Drosophila melanogaster: one gene and its partners. The protein of the gene in region 3 interacts with the protein of the main gene of each other region in a pairwise test. Each region holds a gene or a part of one and is shown on either strand. Other genes may lie near its edges. The genes, in order: CG3704, Uqcc1 and CG11322.

The links.
Region 1: the proteins of CG11322 (region 3) and CG3704 interact in a two-hybrid assay, tested with the Drosophila melanogaster proteins (one large-scale study listed by BioGRID).
Region 2: the proteins of CG11322 (region 3) and Uqcc1 interact in a two-hybrid assay, tested with the Drosophila melanogaster proteins (one large-scale study listed by BioGRID).

The regions. Positions count from the first base shown.
Region 1 is NC_004354.4:937,835-943,460, reverse strand, and holds CG3704 (uncharacterized protein), read left to right. Parts: upstream 1-2,655; 5' UTR 2,656-2,727; coding exon 2,728-3,309; intron 3,310-3,374; coding exon 3,375-3,728; intron 3,729-3,784; coding exon 3,785-3,997; 3' UTR 3,998-4,291; downstream 4,292-5,626. Other genes in the region: CG3703 (uncharacterized protein), read left to right, coding at 1-159, 665-854; mus81, read right to left, coding at 987-2,267; CG32815 (uncharacterized protein), read right to left, coding at 5,449-5,520.
Region 2 is NT_037436.4:6,954,692-6,960,005, reverse strand, and holds Uqcc1 (Ubiquinol-cytochrome c reductase complex assembly factor 1), read left to right. Parts: upstream 1-1,897; 5' UTR 1,898-1,984; coding exon 1,985-2,041; intron 2,042-2,154; coding exon 2,155-2,343; intron 2,344-2,402; coding exon 2,403-2,654; exon of another isoform or gene 2,655-2,721; coding exon 2,722-3,003; 3' UTR 3,004-3,058; downstream 3,059-5,314. Other genes in the region: Surf1 (surfeit 1), read right to left, coding at 485-866, 923-1,117, 1,180-1,301, 1,370-1,573; CG9948 (uncharacterized protein), read right to left, coding at 3,059-3,552, 3,609-3,771; CG10077 (uncharacterized protein), read left to right, coding at 4,618-4,625, 4,837-5,314. UniProt on the Drosophila melanogaster protein: Required for the assembly of the ubiquinol-cytochrome c reductase complex (mitochondrial respiratory chain complex III or cytochrome b-c1 complex). May be involved in cytochrome b translation and/or stability.
Region 3 is NT_033779.5:6,756,145-6,762,037, reverse strand, and holds CG11322 (uncharacterized protein), read left to right. Parts: upstream 1-2,409; 5' UTR 2,410-2,543; coding exon 2,544-3,986; 3' UTR 3,987-4,174; downstream 4,175-5,893. Other genes in the region: LUBEL (linear ubiquitin E3 ligase), read left to right, coding at 3-269, 345-802, 869-1,240, 1,310-1,478, 1,813-1,848.

The DNA of each region.
Region 1 (5,626 bases), on a different chromosome or scaffold from region 3:
AAAGTTGTCGCAGAGCTTCCAGCTGGACATCGTGGACGCGCAGGCTGTGACCGCCAAGCAAAGTTTGCTCAGCGCCGTGGGCATGATTCTGGCAATGCATCGTCCATACAAACGGAGTAACAACGCGCACTTTAAAGCCTTCGTCTGCGCCGGACTCAAGTGAGTTATTTACATGGGCTAAACGCTGGGAAATCGAAGGAATGTTAGTTAAGATGAATTTACAAGCCGCATAACTTTGCAATACCATATTATTTACAGGTGCATAGTTTGAAGCACTAGCCTTTTACATCTTCAAATCTTCATTTTATAGTTATTTTCCTGGCAAAGAGGAATCTTAAAGAGCAAGAGACACACAAACTTTTTATAATTACAAGTGTCCAAAATCAAAATATTCTTACTGCAATTATCAGCAATTCTGCGGTAATGTCAATTCTCTACTGTCTTAAACTTTTTTATCAATGAATTGCTTAATCGATTTTTTGCTTTAACATGTAAATATAAATATGTAAATATTAATATATTTAGCTAGGTGCAGGTAGCTTTTGACTTTGCAGTCTGCCGAATTAATTTAAGCATAAGGCTAACAGGGACGCGGGGATAGACCTTTACCTTGGCTTTTATCACACTTCTTTCATTCGAAATGCTTTTCTCTTCCTTCAAACAGTTCCCATTTGCTGGTGGAGTGGCTGAACCTGATCCTCAGCTGCCATGAACTGGTGGACACGTACTACTCAGCAGACAGCTACGTGGCCCGCACCGGATTCCGCGACTCACTGCGCTCCATCGATGCTCTTTCTCGATTTGACTTCGACCTGCCGGTGGACCTGGCCATCCGGCACTTCCGCAACATCTAAGGGCGGCTGACTTGTACATTTTTTGGCTTAGACTAGATCACACTATTCAATGTCCAACGTATTCTCTCTCTCACTTATGTATAAACTCGTGTATATAACCTTAGATATGTCCCATAAAATCAATTGCTAATCCTAACGAAAGTGCGTGCTGTAGAATTCGTGTAGGCACTGGCTGATCTTGTCGCCCAGTGGACGTTCCAGGGGTCCACACGGGATGCTGGCGAGGAGTAGCCTGGCCTGCTTTTGGTCTGCACACTCCGCGTATGCGTCCAGCAGCCAGCGTGGAGTGGGGTATCTTTCCACAATAGCCATGGCGCGTTCGAGGGAAAGGGAATGCAGCTGTAGCAACTGTTGCACGAAAACCTCGCGCACTGTGAGCTGGGCATTCTTTGCGGAATCCTCATATAGGGCCCGAAACTTGAGCAACCCCAGGTCGGAATGCGTGAGCAGGCAGGTGGATTGGTCGATGGCGCCGCGATCCACGCTGTGCAACTTCTTGCCGGCGAATATCTGGCCAAGGGTGCGACTCATTCCGGCCAAATAGCTCATGGATCGGTAATGATTCGCCGTGCGCACCACTCGGACACCAGTTTGAACTTTGGCATTAGTCAGAGCCTGCTGCAAGGAGTCCAGTGGAAGGCCCAGCTGCTCGTTATCGCCATAGTCCTCGACCAGGTAGATGATGTGCTGCAGGCCGCAGTGCTGCAGCCTGTGCTTCTGTTCGTGGAAGCGACCATCCCGAATACTCGATGCCAGGTCGTCCATCCTCTTGCGCTCCACAATGTAGGGTAAAACCAGTTCATTGCCCTCTTGATCCTGGGCCACCCAAAGGAAATCGCCGATTGTCAGGCGACGCACTTCATGACGGGCTCCCAAGGACTCCAAGTAGCTCCTCGTCTGGTCCAGAACTCTCTTGTTTTTGCCACTGGTTTCCTGAGTATCCACCAAAAGGAGTAACTGGAATTGACCTGGTTTCATTCGCACGACGCGCTCCCGCTCTTCAAGGGCTGCCAGCTCCGCCAGATCTTTTTTGGTTAGCTTCCTGGGCCTGTCGCATTTATTCTGGCGTTTCTGGTGTTCCAGCTGCTTCTCCTGAACCTTGCGTACTACCGCCTGGACCTGCTGCTCGTAGCGCTCCTGAACCACGGCCTCCTGTGGCAGCAATTGGAGGCCTCTGTGATGGCGAAGTTCCTCGTCGATTAGCTGGCAGAGGGTGCCCCCAAAGCCGCGCAGAATGGAACAGTCTCGTCCGCTGGCCAATGGCAGAGGGTAGCTTTTTAGGGACTCCAACGCCTGGCGCAGGCTAAACTGGGACTTCTGTTCTCGGCGCTCCGCTTCGCGCAGCCAGCGCTCCAGCCAACGGGTGAACAATGGATTCGGCTCCCGCAAGAGCACTTCCAGTCGGGTCTCCATTGCTTCACAACTTTTATTATGTAAAACAATGCCAAATAATAAAACTAATGCACGGCAAATAAACGCGCTTCAATTGCCGGCTTCTGGTGGTGGCATTTTTATTACTGTACAACTAGTTTAAAGCTTATTATGGCTTTCGATATATACGGTATGTTCTAAACTCTTCGGTATTTTTTTTTGATTTGTTTTTTTGGCGGGCAAGCAAAAACTGAACTGGCAAAACTGAAGATGTGTGATTCCACGAAGGCTGCTGCGATTAAGGGAGTGTGTTAACTATGTAATGGCCGACATGTTTCCACGCAGGATAAAAAGCAGCAACAACAGCTGATGTTTGTTGGTATCTGAAGCGAATTCAGGCGGCGCAAAGAGCACACTTTCCATAGGACGGTCACACTGCCTCTGCACGCTTGTTTTTGCGCCTCCTGTTTTTGTTTTGATTCTTAGTGAAGCCGTGAGAGAAATGGCAGAGGGAGTGGAGAGCATCAAGCTGGAGGCGCTGTCGCTGAGCGAGGGAATCCGGGAGTCGCCCGTGTGCATACTGGTGCTGGGAATGGCCGGCAGCGGGAAGACCACGTTCACACAGAAGCTCATCCAGCACGCCCAGGAGAAGTTCAATCCGTACGTGGTCAACCTGGATCCGGCGTGCAGGGAAGTACCGTACGCGGCGCACGTGGACATACGGGACACGGTCAACTACCGGGAGGTGATGAAGCAGTACCAACTGGGTCCCAACGGTGGCATTGTGACCGCGCTCAATATGTTCACCACCAAAATGGCACAGTTTGCGGAGCTAGTGCGTCGCGCTGGCGAGCGCGGACACAAGTGGTGTGTGATCGACACGCCCGGACAGATCGAGGTGTTTAACTGGTCGGCTTCCGGGAGCATCATAACCGAGGGACTGGCCACCATGTTTCCCACCATTGTGGTCTATGTAATGGATGTGGAGCGCAGTGCTTGCCCTACCACCTTCATGTCCAACATGCTGTACGCCTGCTCCATCCTGTACAAGACCCGTTTGCCCTTCCTTGTGGCGCTGAACAAGGTAACGACTTTCCCGGCAACCCAGATATCCAGATGTATAGAAAACTTCTTTTCCGCTTCAAACAGATCGACCTAAAGGACTGCGGATTTGTGATGGATTGGATGACAGACTTCGAGGCCTTCCAGGAGGCCCAGGAGGAGGAGCACAGCTTCGTGAGCAACCTCACGCGCACCATGTCGCTCACCCTGGACACCTTCTACGAGAATCTAAGAACGTGCGGCGTCTCGGCCAAGACAGGCGTAGGCTTCACCCAGCTACTGACGAAGATTCTCGAAAGCGTGGACGAGTACGAGACGGACTACAAGCCTGTTTACGAAAAGAAGCGCCAAGAGCGACTGGCGGAGAGTGCGACGGGTCCAAAGCCAGTGGATCATGTGGAAGAGGACGGCCATGCCGTTCCCCTGGGATTGTCGCTTCAGGTAGGAACAGTTCCTCGGCTATTTGTGCACCCACTGCAGGGTCTTAACTATTTCAGGACCCACCGCCGCACACTGGAAACAGCATTTTCCTAATGGCACCTAGTCTGGTGCCCGAGTCGGCGGAAATCGAAGACGAGGAGGAGATGGAGGAGGACGCGAAGGGCACCGCCGAAGAACAAAACTTCCACAGCTTCGTGCAGAACCACCTGACTGCCCAGCAGAGCAAGCGGGACAAACTGCAGCAGGAACAGGAACAGGCTCAGCCGTAAATGGGCGGATTGTGATCCTCGATGGCTATGGATTTCGTGATTTCGAGTTTTCATTTTTATTATTTACTTTAACAAGCAAAAACATTCAATATAGTGTGTGTTCGTCACTTGCACCTCCGATATTTGGTTTGTATATATGGACTTAGTTTAGCTTTGCAAATTAGTGATAACATATACATATGGAGGATATATCCCGCTCGTAAATGTAAATGCAAGCCTCATACTTTGCGTAACTTACTCTGTATATATATATATGTATGCAGATAAATATATATATATTTACATTTATGCTGTATGTATCATGTGTGGTGTGTACTGCGTTGAGCAAATAAATTGTGTGTCGCGTGTGTTGGCTGCTGCGCCCGATATCTTACGCTTTATAGTTGCTTCTCTGGATTTGGTTGTCTCGTTATTGGCTGCCGCTTTAAATATTACGCTTACAAAAATACAGATCATCTCAAATACTTGTCAATGCCTCACAGTTATACACAGTTTATATAGACGAACAGTAGTCCCCCGCTACGGTTTCTCACCGCCCTACTGCTCACTGCCCAACTGTCCCATCTGAATCGAATCGAATCGAATCGCCAAGCGTTTTGGGCCAAGACGGACTTGCATCCCCATCCCCATCCCCGCCTGCCTGTGCTGCAAATTAGGTGTAGTCGCTTGCAAAAAAATATTCATATCTCTGGACGTTTCATTTGATTTGAGTGCGTTTTCCGAGGGCTGTGCCTCGGTGCTTTTGTGCCTCGGTGCTCCCTTTTCCGCGATGCGTCCACCAATTGGTTTCAGAGCAGCAGGAACAGCAGACACAAAAGGTGGATTGTGTTTAAAAAGCTCGGTTAGTTTGGAAAGTACTTCGGATGAGATCGAACATTGTCACATCTTCGTGCCGAGAGCCCAGCTATTGGTGGTGCACGGAGGGGCTCAGTGGCCAGCGTGGACACCACCACATCCCTCGCACGTCAAGTTATCAAGCTAGCTCTTGCATTTATGCATATTTATAAGTAACGGGTATCTTGGGGATCACACACACACACATACACACACACTATCAGCACACACACGCACACAGTTTTGTAAGGATGGGTGATTGGTAAGAGGGGGGGGACAGTGCGGGGTGAAGACAAGCATTGGAAAAATTTGGGGATAGCTAAACAGTAGTTTCAGAAACAGTCTTCTTCGTGCTTGGATTACTCTTTGCTCCGCCTTCCGCCTGCCTCATGGCCAGAAGCGGAGGGGAAATTTGGGGATCGGGATCGGGATTAGCATACTGGATCAGCTGGCGTGGAGCCATCTCAGCAGGTCCAGGTGTCTGGGTAATCGTGTGTGTCTCAAACGGATGGGCGAAGTGGGCGATGGCCCAGCCAGCGACTTTGGATCGCTCAAGCAGGCCGGAAATCAAAAGCTGGAACCGAGGGCGAACAGGGAATCATCTGAACGAGCTCCAATTAGTCGTCGTCCGACAGGTTGGTGGTGGTCAGCAGGGTGGCGTTGTCCTCGGCGCCCTGTTCCTCGATGTCCTGCAAGAGAGAAAAGTTATTCAGGCTTCGGATCACCATATGGATCACCTTGGGGTAATCACCAGGACAATGGGAAGTTGCAGGAGAAGGAGGAGGAGCAATTGAA
Region 2 (5,314 bases), on a different chromosome or scaffold from region 3:
GACTCTGTCAGTTTTAAGTGAAAAGTAAAGTTGAATTCTTGCATTTTGTATATTAGTTTCTAAAGGATATAAGCTTTTAAAACATTTCTGTATATAACTAGAAAGCGAATTACTTATTTGAACAACATAAGGCAATGATTGATTAACCACAAAGTTATAAAACGTAGTAACTATTTTTGATCAGACAATATAATATTATGTAGCTTTCCCCATATCGACCCAAACTAACGAGTGTGTTTCTAAATAGTTAAAGTATTCAACTAGGCACACCCGCAAGGGAAACCCTCGAACCGTATTTGTATTCATATTCCTATTCCTATTCCCCTGTCGATCCGCCACTCGAGGATCGGTAGTTGCAATATTAAGTCCCAGCAGGACAATAATCCCCTCCTGCGGCGGGCCAATAAAAACCAGCATTTACACGAGAGCATGTAAATTTTTATAATAAAAATAACAACAGTGCGTTTGATTTGGGTTCCCTTTTTCAGAAGGGTATCCTCTTGACTATTTGGCGGTACCACAAAAAGGAGGTGGCCGCCGATAGACTGAACCAGGTCACCAGGTACGACAGATGATCGTTGCGCAGGGTAACGCGTGTCTGTCCACCGATTGGAGCATGTGCAGCCGTTTGCGGATCGTAGACGGCGTCCAGGAACACAGGAGCTGCTCCTGTGGCGGCGCACATGCGCGCCAAGTCGCGATAGAGATAGACATTGCCCTTGTGGTCGGGTGTGAACTGCGGACGCGCCTCTCCTTTGCGCACGACGGCGGTGAGCTCCACTTCCGCCTGTTGTTGGCCCAGCGGCCTGGTTTCCGGCTCCACTTGCTTGCGGGACACCCAGCCCCGATTGACGAGCACTATGTCGCTGGGGGCGAAACGATATTAAGATGATTCTATGGGATTTCCTTGAGCACAACTTACTCTCTATCTGCCAGCTGAAAAGGGGTTACTATTAGATAGCCATTGCCCGAGTCGCGCTGCGAGAAGAGTCCTCCTTGGGTTTCCACGCCATCGGGCCGTATCAGCGATCTCGGACCCAGGCGCATCTCCTTGTCGTGAAGGAAACGTCCACGGATCTTGACCAGGCGGTACTCCATTTGGGCCAAGTCAGTGAGACTACAGGAGGGAATACACTATAGTGGGTGGGTATATAGTGGAGAATATGTGGGCAAACCTACTCGTCTGGTAGAGCCACAGGCGCCGTGCTCAGCTGCTTGTTGAGATCCTTGATCAACTGCTCCTTCCAAATCTTGCGCTTCACTTGCCAGCAGCCCAAGCCAAAAGTGGTGGCCGGTATGAGCTGGGGATTGGTTAATGGACAACAAGGATTAGTTGTGTGTATAGGTAGAGGAGTTGGTGTCTACCCACCAGGAGGAACCATCCCAAAGGAGCTATCTTCTCCTTGTCCTTCGCCGCCTGATTGGGAATACTGGTTGTCCAATTCACCGGCGGTCGCTGTTGTGTCATCTTTCTGGTGATTAATCTCGGATTGTTCGCGGTGCCCGGGTTTCGGAATACAGTCTGTATATTAAAGGCCACTTGCCGGCACATTTGGTTCCCCAAACGTATCATACTTTCTTTTATTTTGCTCTAAATTTTCTATTTATTTATTTATTTACATTTCCAACTGGAAGTTGATAGTAAGACCGTTTTGCACTGTTATGAACGGATAATAACTTCATGCGGTCACACCACTTCCGAATGTAAGCTCTTCTTGATTTTATGAATTAAGACTGCAAAGGTTTAAAGTATATAAAAAATAAAGTAATAGTTATTACTTTTCACATGCAAAAAAAAAAACATTTTTCTTTCTTTACAAAGATTTGTATCTGTTACTGTTAATCATATGTTAGCAAGTCACTGTTAACATGTCGTTATACCCAAGTTGGCAGCCCCGTTACGATCAGCTGTTTTAGTCTGTTGTCGCGTGCAATTGGATTTTTTAAACGATTTTGTTTTAGTAAATTTAGGATACATTTAAGAATGCAGTGCACTCGTGCAGTTGCAAGACTGGCCGGCGGCCTAGCGAGAACCGCATGGGTATGTTTAAAGCAGGGGTTGTACTTTATTTAGTCAAAACACGGTCATCCGAATGCACCGCCATCAACTCTTATATAAACGGATATAAAATTTTTAAATTAAACATATTATAGGCAACACAACATACGTATAAGCACAGGCCAGCGATACTGGGACTGCTGGAGCAGCCATGCCGCTTGTGTTCATCCACCGGCGTTGTGGATAATACCAATAAAACGAAACCCGGCACAGCGGAAGCCGCAGAAGGCGGTATTCTGAAGAGAGTGCTCAACAAAGTGGGCTTCACACCGAACACAAAGGCGGTAGGACTCGGATTACTTTGCCCATTTGATTAATATTCATCGAAGTGATCCCATTTCAGCGCCTCAAGGTAACCAGTCATCTGCTGTACGAAAGCGTCGCCGACAAGATCAACTATGTGACCTTTTTCCGCGACTTCAATCTGCCCAATACCTTTAACTCCTGGTTCTTGGTCACCGAACTGCATGTTTGGCTACTCCTGATGCGCTCCATGGCCGAGGGCTCCGAAACGGGCGAGGATGGACGCTTCCTGCGCAACTGCATTGTGGAGGCGATGTGGGGAGATGTTAACACACGCGCCAAGAAATTGGGAGTAGGTTTTACTTTAGTTCACCTTTATATATATAATCTTTATGCTCTTCATATGTGTTTCCCAACAGGCTCACAATCCTTCACGCACCCGTCAGCAAATCGAGACCTTATCCGAGCAGTTCCAAGCGGCCCTAATCGCCTACGACGAGGGCATCATGTCCGACGATCGGGTTTTGGCCTGCGCCTTGTGGCGCCGCTTCTTCGAGATGAACTGTGATGATTACGCGCAGATCGAGCGACTGGTGAAGTACGTCCGCCAGCAGGCCAGCATGCTGGACAGTTTGCCGCGCGATCAGTTCATTGTCAAGCCGAAAGTGGCATGGTTGGAATTGGACAAGTGCAAGGTTTAATCTTAGTTATATTCTGTTTTTTAAAAATAAAGTTTGAGAGTATGTGAACTGGAAACTAGATGCTAAGGTCCTCCACGGACTGATTACTCAAGGCACGCAGCTGGCACTTGAGCAGAAATGCTGTAATCCTTCGTTCTGCCCTTCTCCGCTGCGGTTCCTTTAGTTGGGCCAGTATTTGGTCCATCTGGAGAAAGCTGCTTCTGGGCGAGATTATTTCAGCGGGCTCTTGTTCCTCGTAGATGATTTCCTCTTGGATGATCTGTTCACTGGGCTCCTCGATGACCTCCTCGATTATGAACGTACTCGACTGCTGTGGAACATCCCCATCCTCAAAAGTGTCCCACAAAAATTGCACAGGAGTTTCCGTCTGGATGGTCGCCTCCTGTTTGTTTGTTTTGGGTTTGGTTTTCACTTTGGAGGGCGGCTGGATCTCGGCCAAAAATCGCAGGCGTTCCAGGTACGGCCAGGTGGATCCACTGGTGTCCGCGCGGCGAAACTCCTTGCGAAACTGATAGTGCAGATTGTTCCAGCGCATCAGGCAGAAGTCCACTAAGAGGATTATAACTTTAAATATATATATCTTATTCTTTTATTAGCTGACTTACCATCACAGCCCATCATCTCGGCTATGCGAGCCCAGATATCGGTTTTCGCCTTCATGGCATCGTAGTTCGAGAGTCCAGATCTCTTATAGAGCACAGGATTGGGTTCCACCAGATCAATTAGCTTGAAGTCGAAAGGTCTGTTTTTCTTGTAACTGGTGCGCATGGCTACCAAATTGAATTAAACTAGCTTGAACTTGATAATTAAGAATCCCTTGCTTGAGCCATGTTTATTTACCTTATGAAGTACAGCAGAGCTACGATTAAGCGAAAACCATTTGGCACGTATTGTATGTCATAATTGCGGGCTTAAGATACTTAACAAATGAAGGGAAATTACATAATAATAAATTATATTTTAACTGCATTATTAGAACCTTGTTTATTAGTTATTACTTTACAGATAGAAATTTACAGGTTAACTACATTGAGCGATCACTGTAATATTCCAATTTATGTCCACACTTTGGTTTTTGGGTCGTTCTATAGGCTGGTCACATTTTTCTTGCTGACCATTATTATCGAAGTTGCTTTACCCGATAGGTTCCAGACAAACAATATCAGACGTCTTTGTTTTGCTTAAAAAATTAATAGTTCTTATTGTTAATTACCGGTGCCGCATTAAAAAAATACTGGTTAGACAACGAAGTAACTACAAACTAGCAACCATAGTGCTCTAAAGTGCTCTTAATAGTGTTCCATATTCTTTTCAGTTATTATTTTTATTTAATTTGTTATTATTAGAAACGTTCACAATAATTATTTATATATTAAAAGTTTCCTACTAACAAATATTTTGACATTTTTCCCTATTCGTTGTGATCGTTTCTAGAAAATTCAATCGATGTTTCCAGAAAACCTAACCTATCGAACCAATCGATATTAACACCGATTTTTTCCACAGCTCTATTGACGACGTAGAAGCTGAAAAAATTGTGGAGTGAAAAATTGTAAAAGTGACCGAAAAAACTATACTTTGGCCAGCTATATTTCCACTTACATCACACCAGCAATGAACATGTGAGTATTGAAACACAGGCACACATTTTTTAAGCCCAAATTTCGGTTTAGCATGCGGCCAGGGGCCGAGTGTCGAAAATCAATAAATTCAAAATGGCAGTAAAAAATGAAAATTACATAAAAAAAGGTCGCTTCGTGTAAATTTCAACATTTTGGCAACGCATTAAAGGGCTCAAAATTCTAATTTTATGGCACAAAACGCTCGTCGCAGGTACAACGGACAGATGAACGCCTTCGGAGGCGGTGGCGGCGGAGGAGCTGGTGGCCTAGCCGGCGGTATGGTGCCCAATCGCATGGGCGGTGGTGCTCCCGGTGGCGGACCCGGCGGAGCGGGCATGTTCCAGCGCAATCGCTCGGCCCCATACCCAGGTTTCAATGGTCATGGACCCGCCAACGGTGGACAGCGACGCATGAACGGTGGTGGTCCTAGCATGGGACCCGGCGGACCACGCAACCAGGATGGATTCGGTGGTCAGAACGGGGGCCAGCGCTCTTCCAATCATGGCGCTCACTTGCCCAAGATCGTTTGGTCTGAGGTGAATCTTACGCCATTCCGCAAGAACTTTTACAAGCCGTGCGATTCGGTGCTGGCCAGGACTGTCGGTGAAACAGAGACCTTCCTCACCAGCAATGAGATCACCATCAAGGGCGATCAGGTGCCCACACCCAGTATTGAATTCGAGGAGGGC
Region 3 (5,893 bases):
AGATCCTTGCCCGCAAGTACGTCGATCAGGAGCTGGTGACCAATATCGCAGAGGCCCAGATAGCCGCCACCTTGGTGAGCATGAAGTTCTCGGAAGACGTGGCTCTGTGGGCGGCCAGGGAGTGCTCCGATCTGGACCAGGCCATTGCCATGCTCCAGCAGGAGTGCGAGCTCTGCATGAACAGCTATCCCATGAATCAGATGGTGTCCATGCTAAAGTGTCTGCACAAGTGCTGCAAGCAGTGTGCCAAGAGCTACTTTACAGTACAGGTGAGTGGCTTAAGTGGTCATAAAGGATAATGAAAAGTCTGACAATTGCTCCATCACTTAAACTTCCTTTCGCAGATAACCGATCGCAGTATAAACGATTGCAGTTGCCCGTTTTGCAAGCTGCCCGAGTTGAGCAACGAGGCTCAGCATGAGGATGAGCACCTCGAGTACTTCTCCAACCTGGACATCTTCCTGAAGAGCATCCTGGACAACGATGTGCACGAACTGTTCCAGCGCAAGTTGCGCGATCGCTCGCTGCTGCAGGATCCCAACTTCAAGTGGTGCATCCAGTGCTCGTCCGGATTCTTCGCTCGGCCCAAGCAGAAGCGATTGATTTGTCCGGACTGTGGATCCGTTACCTGTGCCCAGTGCCGAAAGCCCTGGGAGCGCCAGCACGAGGGCAGTAGCTGCGAAGCTTATCTGGAATGGAAGCGCGAAAACGATCCCGAGCTGCAGGCCCAGGGTGTCCAGGAGCATTTGGCCCAAAACGGCATCGACTGTCCCAAGTGCAAGTTCCGATACTCGCTGGCCAGGTATGTTCAGATACAGAAATATCAGTATGTTGTATCTTTTACAAGTTCAATGTTCAACCTATACAGAGGCGGATGCATGCATTTTACCTGTACTCAGTGCAAATTCGAGTTCTGCTACGGATGTGCCCGACCCTTCATGATGGGTGCCAAGTGCACTGTGTCCACATACTGTGCCAAGCTCGGTCTCCATGCCCATCATCCGCGCAACTGCCTGTTCTACCTGAGGGATAAAATCCCCCTTCAGTTGCAGTTCCTGCTCAAGGAGCAAAACGTCAAATTCGACACGGAACCCATGCAGATCAAGGACGAGTCCAGCAGTTCGTCCAAGGCTCGTGCCCAGGCCCGCTGCCCGATCCCGCTGCAAAAGGAGACGCCGCAAGGACTAGTCGACACAGTGTGCAACACGGAAGTTCCTGACAAGCACGCTGGCATGTGTCGGTAAGTTTAATATCGGGAAATCCCCGAAAAATCATATTTTTCAACCAATATACTTCTATATCATTTAAGCACCCACTACGTAGAGTATTTGGCTGGCAAGGTTGCCAAGGCTGGCATCGATCCACTGCCCATCTTTGATCTGACGGACTGCGTCCAGGAGCTGCGAAGGCGAGGCATCGCTCTGCCGGAGAGAGGACCCTGGGACACCGATGAGATCTACAAGAACATGTGCTCCGAGGTAGGTGTTGGCTATCATCAGTTGATGGCTTAATTGATTTCCTTTTATTTCATTGGCCTTAATCGCGGAAATCGAGTTCCATGCGTTCCGGGGGCGATTTGTTTTTGCCGAATGATTCAGCGGCCGCTCCTGGCGATGGATCGATACCGAAAAATCCAAATAAAATGAAAACAAAATCGTTCAGCCGCTAACTAAATTTGCATGCCGTCTGACGTATTTCACACGCTTCTTAATTGATATTCGTTTTATTATTATTTAATTGTAAACAGTTTGGGCGGTCGAATCGATAATGTTTATAAATGTTCCAATCTCTCAATCTCGATCTTACTTTTAGGTAATCAAAAAGCATATACCACTGAAATCGGCATGAGCAGAATCTGAACAAGTGATGTTTTGGAAGCAGACGACTATTGCAATTCTTCACCAATATCTTTGATTTATGGCGGCACTTTTATAGACATTTTTATACACCCACCACCCCACCCACACTCACGAATCAAACTTCAGTGCTAGACAGTTCGTTAGACATTAGACATGGCATGTATACACCTTCATTGTACACCCACCCACTCATCGTTTATCCATCCAGAAACCTTTCCCATTTTGTTTAGTTACTAAGAGATGGAAAACAACAGACCGAATATCCGCACGTGTAATAGAGTGCATCCAATAAACGGCGGCATATGTGAAAATCCAATCCAATCGTTTCTAGAATTTATTTTAAGCTTTTCAGCCTGTGCCTAACAATGTGCAGATGGTTAGTTTGGAAAGTGTTGTTTGCTGTGGGCGGTTCCAGGACTTTCGAATCGATTTCGCATTTGAGATGTCCGCACAATCAAATACAAATCCGGACGACAGCGTGGTCAACCCAACCAAGGACTGCAGACCAAAGGCGCACAGGTAGCCTATGACTTAGCCATCAGTCCAGGCAATCAAACTAATTTCAAGTAATCCGTGCTCCAAACACCTCCGACTTTGGGAGCTGCACCAGAAATTCATCAAGGATACCTCTCCGATTTCTTCGATGATATGAACGACAGCAGTCGTAGTTCCATGGATACCGACATGGAAATACAGAAGTTGCCAGTGAAACGGCACTTGCCGGTGACCAAAGGCCATGGGTGTGTTAAAAATAAGTGCCGCCGAAATCTAGACGAGATGTCCATCCAACAGTTTTCCGACTCATCCTCTCAGTCGGAGGGCGATGGCGAGGAGGACTCCAATGATGCCGACGACGAGGAGTATCAGCAGCCCGAGTGGACGGGTCGCAAAAGGCCGCCGCTGGTCTATCTCGAGTTGGGCGATAAAATCATTATCGTTAGGAACGAGCCACAGCCCAACGTCAAGCTGGAAGACGATGTGCAACTTAAAACGAAGATGCACAAATTTTTGGGTCTGATACCATCACGCCGCAAGCTCTACAATCCTGCGGTGGTTTACGATATGAAGCCGGAGGATATTGAGAATATCAATTGTGTCGTCAATTCATCCCATGCGTCCGCAGAGCCATTTACTCCATCAGCCGAGCAACCAATTCGTCCGAAAACAATGATGACATCCACTTGGTCAAAGCTTAATTTGTCGAATATCGATGAACCGACCCCTGAGGAGAGCCAGGCTAAAAGCAAAAATGACTTTGAGCTCTGGTCCATTGCATTCTCCTTTGATCAGTGCACCCCGGACTTGCATAAGGAGCCCATTGATCTTATCGATTTACCCAACGAAGAGCAGTTGGCCGCCAACTGCCGACGTCACAAAAGCAGTGTGCCATGCCTGGAGCGGCATCCAAAGTTCTACGGATTCGTTCGTTCGCTCAGCCCTTCGATTTCGCTCAATATGTGCCATCCACTGGCGCTCACCTACAGGCAAAACAATTTCAAAATCTGCAAGGTGGCACTGGCCAAAGTGCTGTTCAACATCTTCAACCACGCGATCTTCCACTGTGGCCTTCAGGTGCCCATTGTTTGGAAGCACGCAATGCACACGCGATGCACATGCCAGCTGACCGTCGATGCCCATGGTAAGCGCAGAGCCAAGATTCTACTTCTGCGGAGTATAAAGACTACGGCGGAGCTAATCCGCTGCCTGCTGCACGAGATGTGCCACGTGGCGGCATTTGTGTTCAATCGGGAGTTGGGTCACGGCGACAATTGCCGCAGGTGGGCCTACCAGGCGAAGATGGCCCTGCCGGAGGCACCCACCATCGAGGACAACTGCATAGATAGCTTCAAGTACACCTGCACTATGTGCACCCGATGCTCCTACGGCGTGGCCGACTTGAGCATGCAGAACCTACGTTGCTACTACTGCCAGTTCGAGGTGAGCGTGAAGAACGTTTGGAAGTCAGAGATGTACGATTGGACCCGGTCAGATCCGACGATGACACCGTTCAAGTGCTTTATTTGGGACAGGTACTTGCAGCTGGGCGAGCAGGGAGCCAACACGCACTCCACGAATATGGCGTTGCTCAACGAGGAGTTCATGAGACTGAACTCCACAATGGATTAGAATGCAGCGACTTTGCTGCTGGCATAGAATTTTAAGTATATATTTTGTATAGGATAGGAGTGACTTAACCACAAAATCCCATTAGAATACTAATTCAAATCCCATAGTTTTGTTAACTTGTTAAATTATTGTTTCTTTGTTTCTCTTGTTTTCTGTTACCAGTTAAATAAAATACACAACTATTAAATGACTGCATACTTTTGAGCTATTCTGATGAGTATGCTGTGAGTATCTGGAAAGTCGTATATCCACAGAGACTTATTATTATATTCATCTCCTTGGCCGCTTGTGATATTGCCAAAAAGGCAAATGCGAGCCATAAATTAAGTCCCGAGACGAAAAGCAAAGGCACAAGCACAACAACCAGATGAGCGAAAAAAAGCAATACAGTAAGTGGGGGATATTCAGATACAAATTCAAATTCAGATTCAGATACGCCAAGTTACTCGGTGGAGAACAGGGAAGGCGATGGGACGATGGTGGTGGCATCGTAAAAACCTATTTTCGTAGCGATTGAAATGAATTTATGCGCGCGGCACAACATGTTTTGATATTCGGACAGTTTTACACCAATAACAACTAATTAAATGGGATAAATTGTATATTTATTGATCCATAAACGATCGTCTCGTCCTAAAAGTTTTGCTTCTGGCTTTGAACTCAAACCCGAACTGCAACACTCACATACGCGGTTTTAAGTTTTTGATTTTCAGTTTTCGAGTTCGGTACGCGTGGCGTGAAAATATGCAGATCACATGGACTTTTTTTAAAATTATTTATGAGCATCGGTTTGCTAAGTTAAGTTAAGTTTGTCAAACACGTGGACAGCTATCGAAAACTATAAGCATCGCAAATACACTTGGGAATCCAGCAAAATTTATTATTTCGTTAAATATTTATTTTCAAAATAAAGGAAAGGCTTTCAAGCGTGACTAAATAATTTCAATAAAAATCTAAAATCTTTATGTTTTCATAATAATATTATAAGGTAAAATGGAAGGATATTCCTAATATAAGATAAGATAAGCGTATATGCAAACGAGAATCCTATTACTCAAAATTTTGAAATTTTTTGAAATGTTTTATATGCAGGTGTCTTAAAAAACTTTCACATTCTTCGTCTAGCCGGCATTTTAGCACATTCTGCTCTCGGCCATTAAAACATTTAAGTGCTGGCATGCGGCTCGTTAAAAAATGTCTTCAACTCGGCTATTTTAGCCGGCAAAGTCAAGGTGAAATGACACTGACCCCGCGTGCTTGAGTTAATTACAGGTTAACCGAAGGCATTAATCAATCACTTGGCCAATCGATGGGATCAAATCGAATCGAATCGGATCGGATCGGATCCGTGTGGCCTCTGATTCGTGGCTGCCCGAATGGAACCATTAAACGGCATTACGTGGAGCGCGTAGTGCAAACAATGTGAATGTCCGCCCACCCAGAACACGGCGTAACCTCACCTTTGTTGAATTAACCTTAGCGCATGTTTATCACAGACCAAATTACGGAATGGCAGGGGCGTCACATCCTGTCCACGTCCACAGCAAACAGTGCGAACTGGACAAACAATCGCTGGACGCGACCGGATTGTTTTCCACCGGCTTCTGTTTCGTGGAAACCGTGACATTCAATGTCGAAGCAAATCATCTGAGTGACCTTCGCGAACAACAAAGAGTAATTAGCCAAACAACCAGCTCGATATAAACAGCAATAAATATTTTTAAATTCGAATAACAAATATTTACCATTAGTTGTAGGTGGCTTCTCCAGAAGCCGCATTGTTTTGCCAATCTCGCATGGAGATTATGAGCATATTTGTTTGGCAAAATCTCTAATGAACATGTGGTAAAATGTGGAAACTGGATTCCACTTGTTAACGAGTATATTGAAAGAATCGTTTTTTAAAT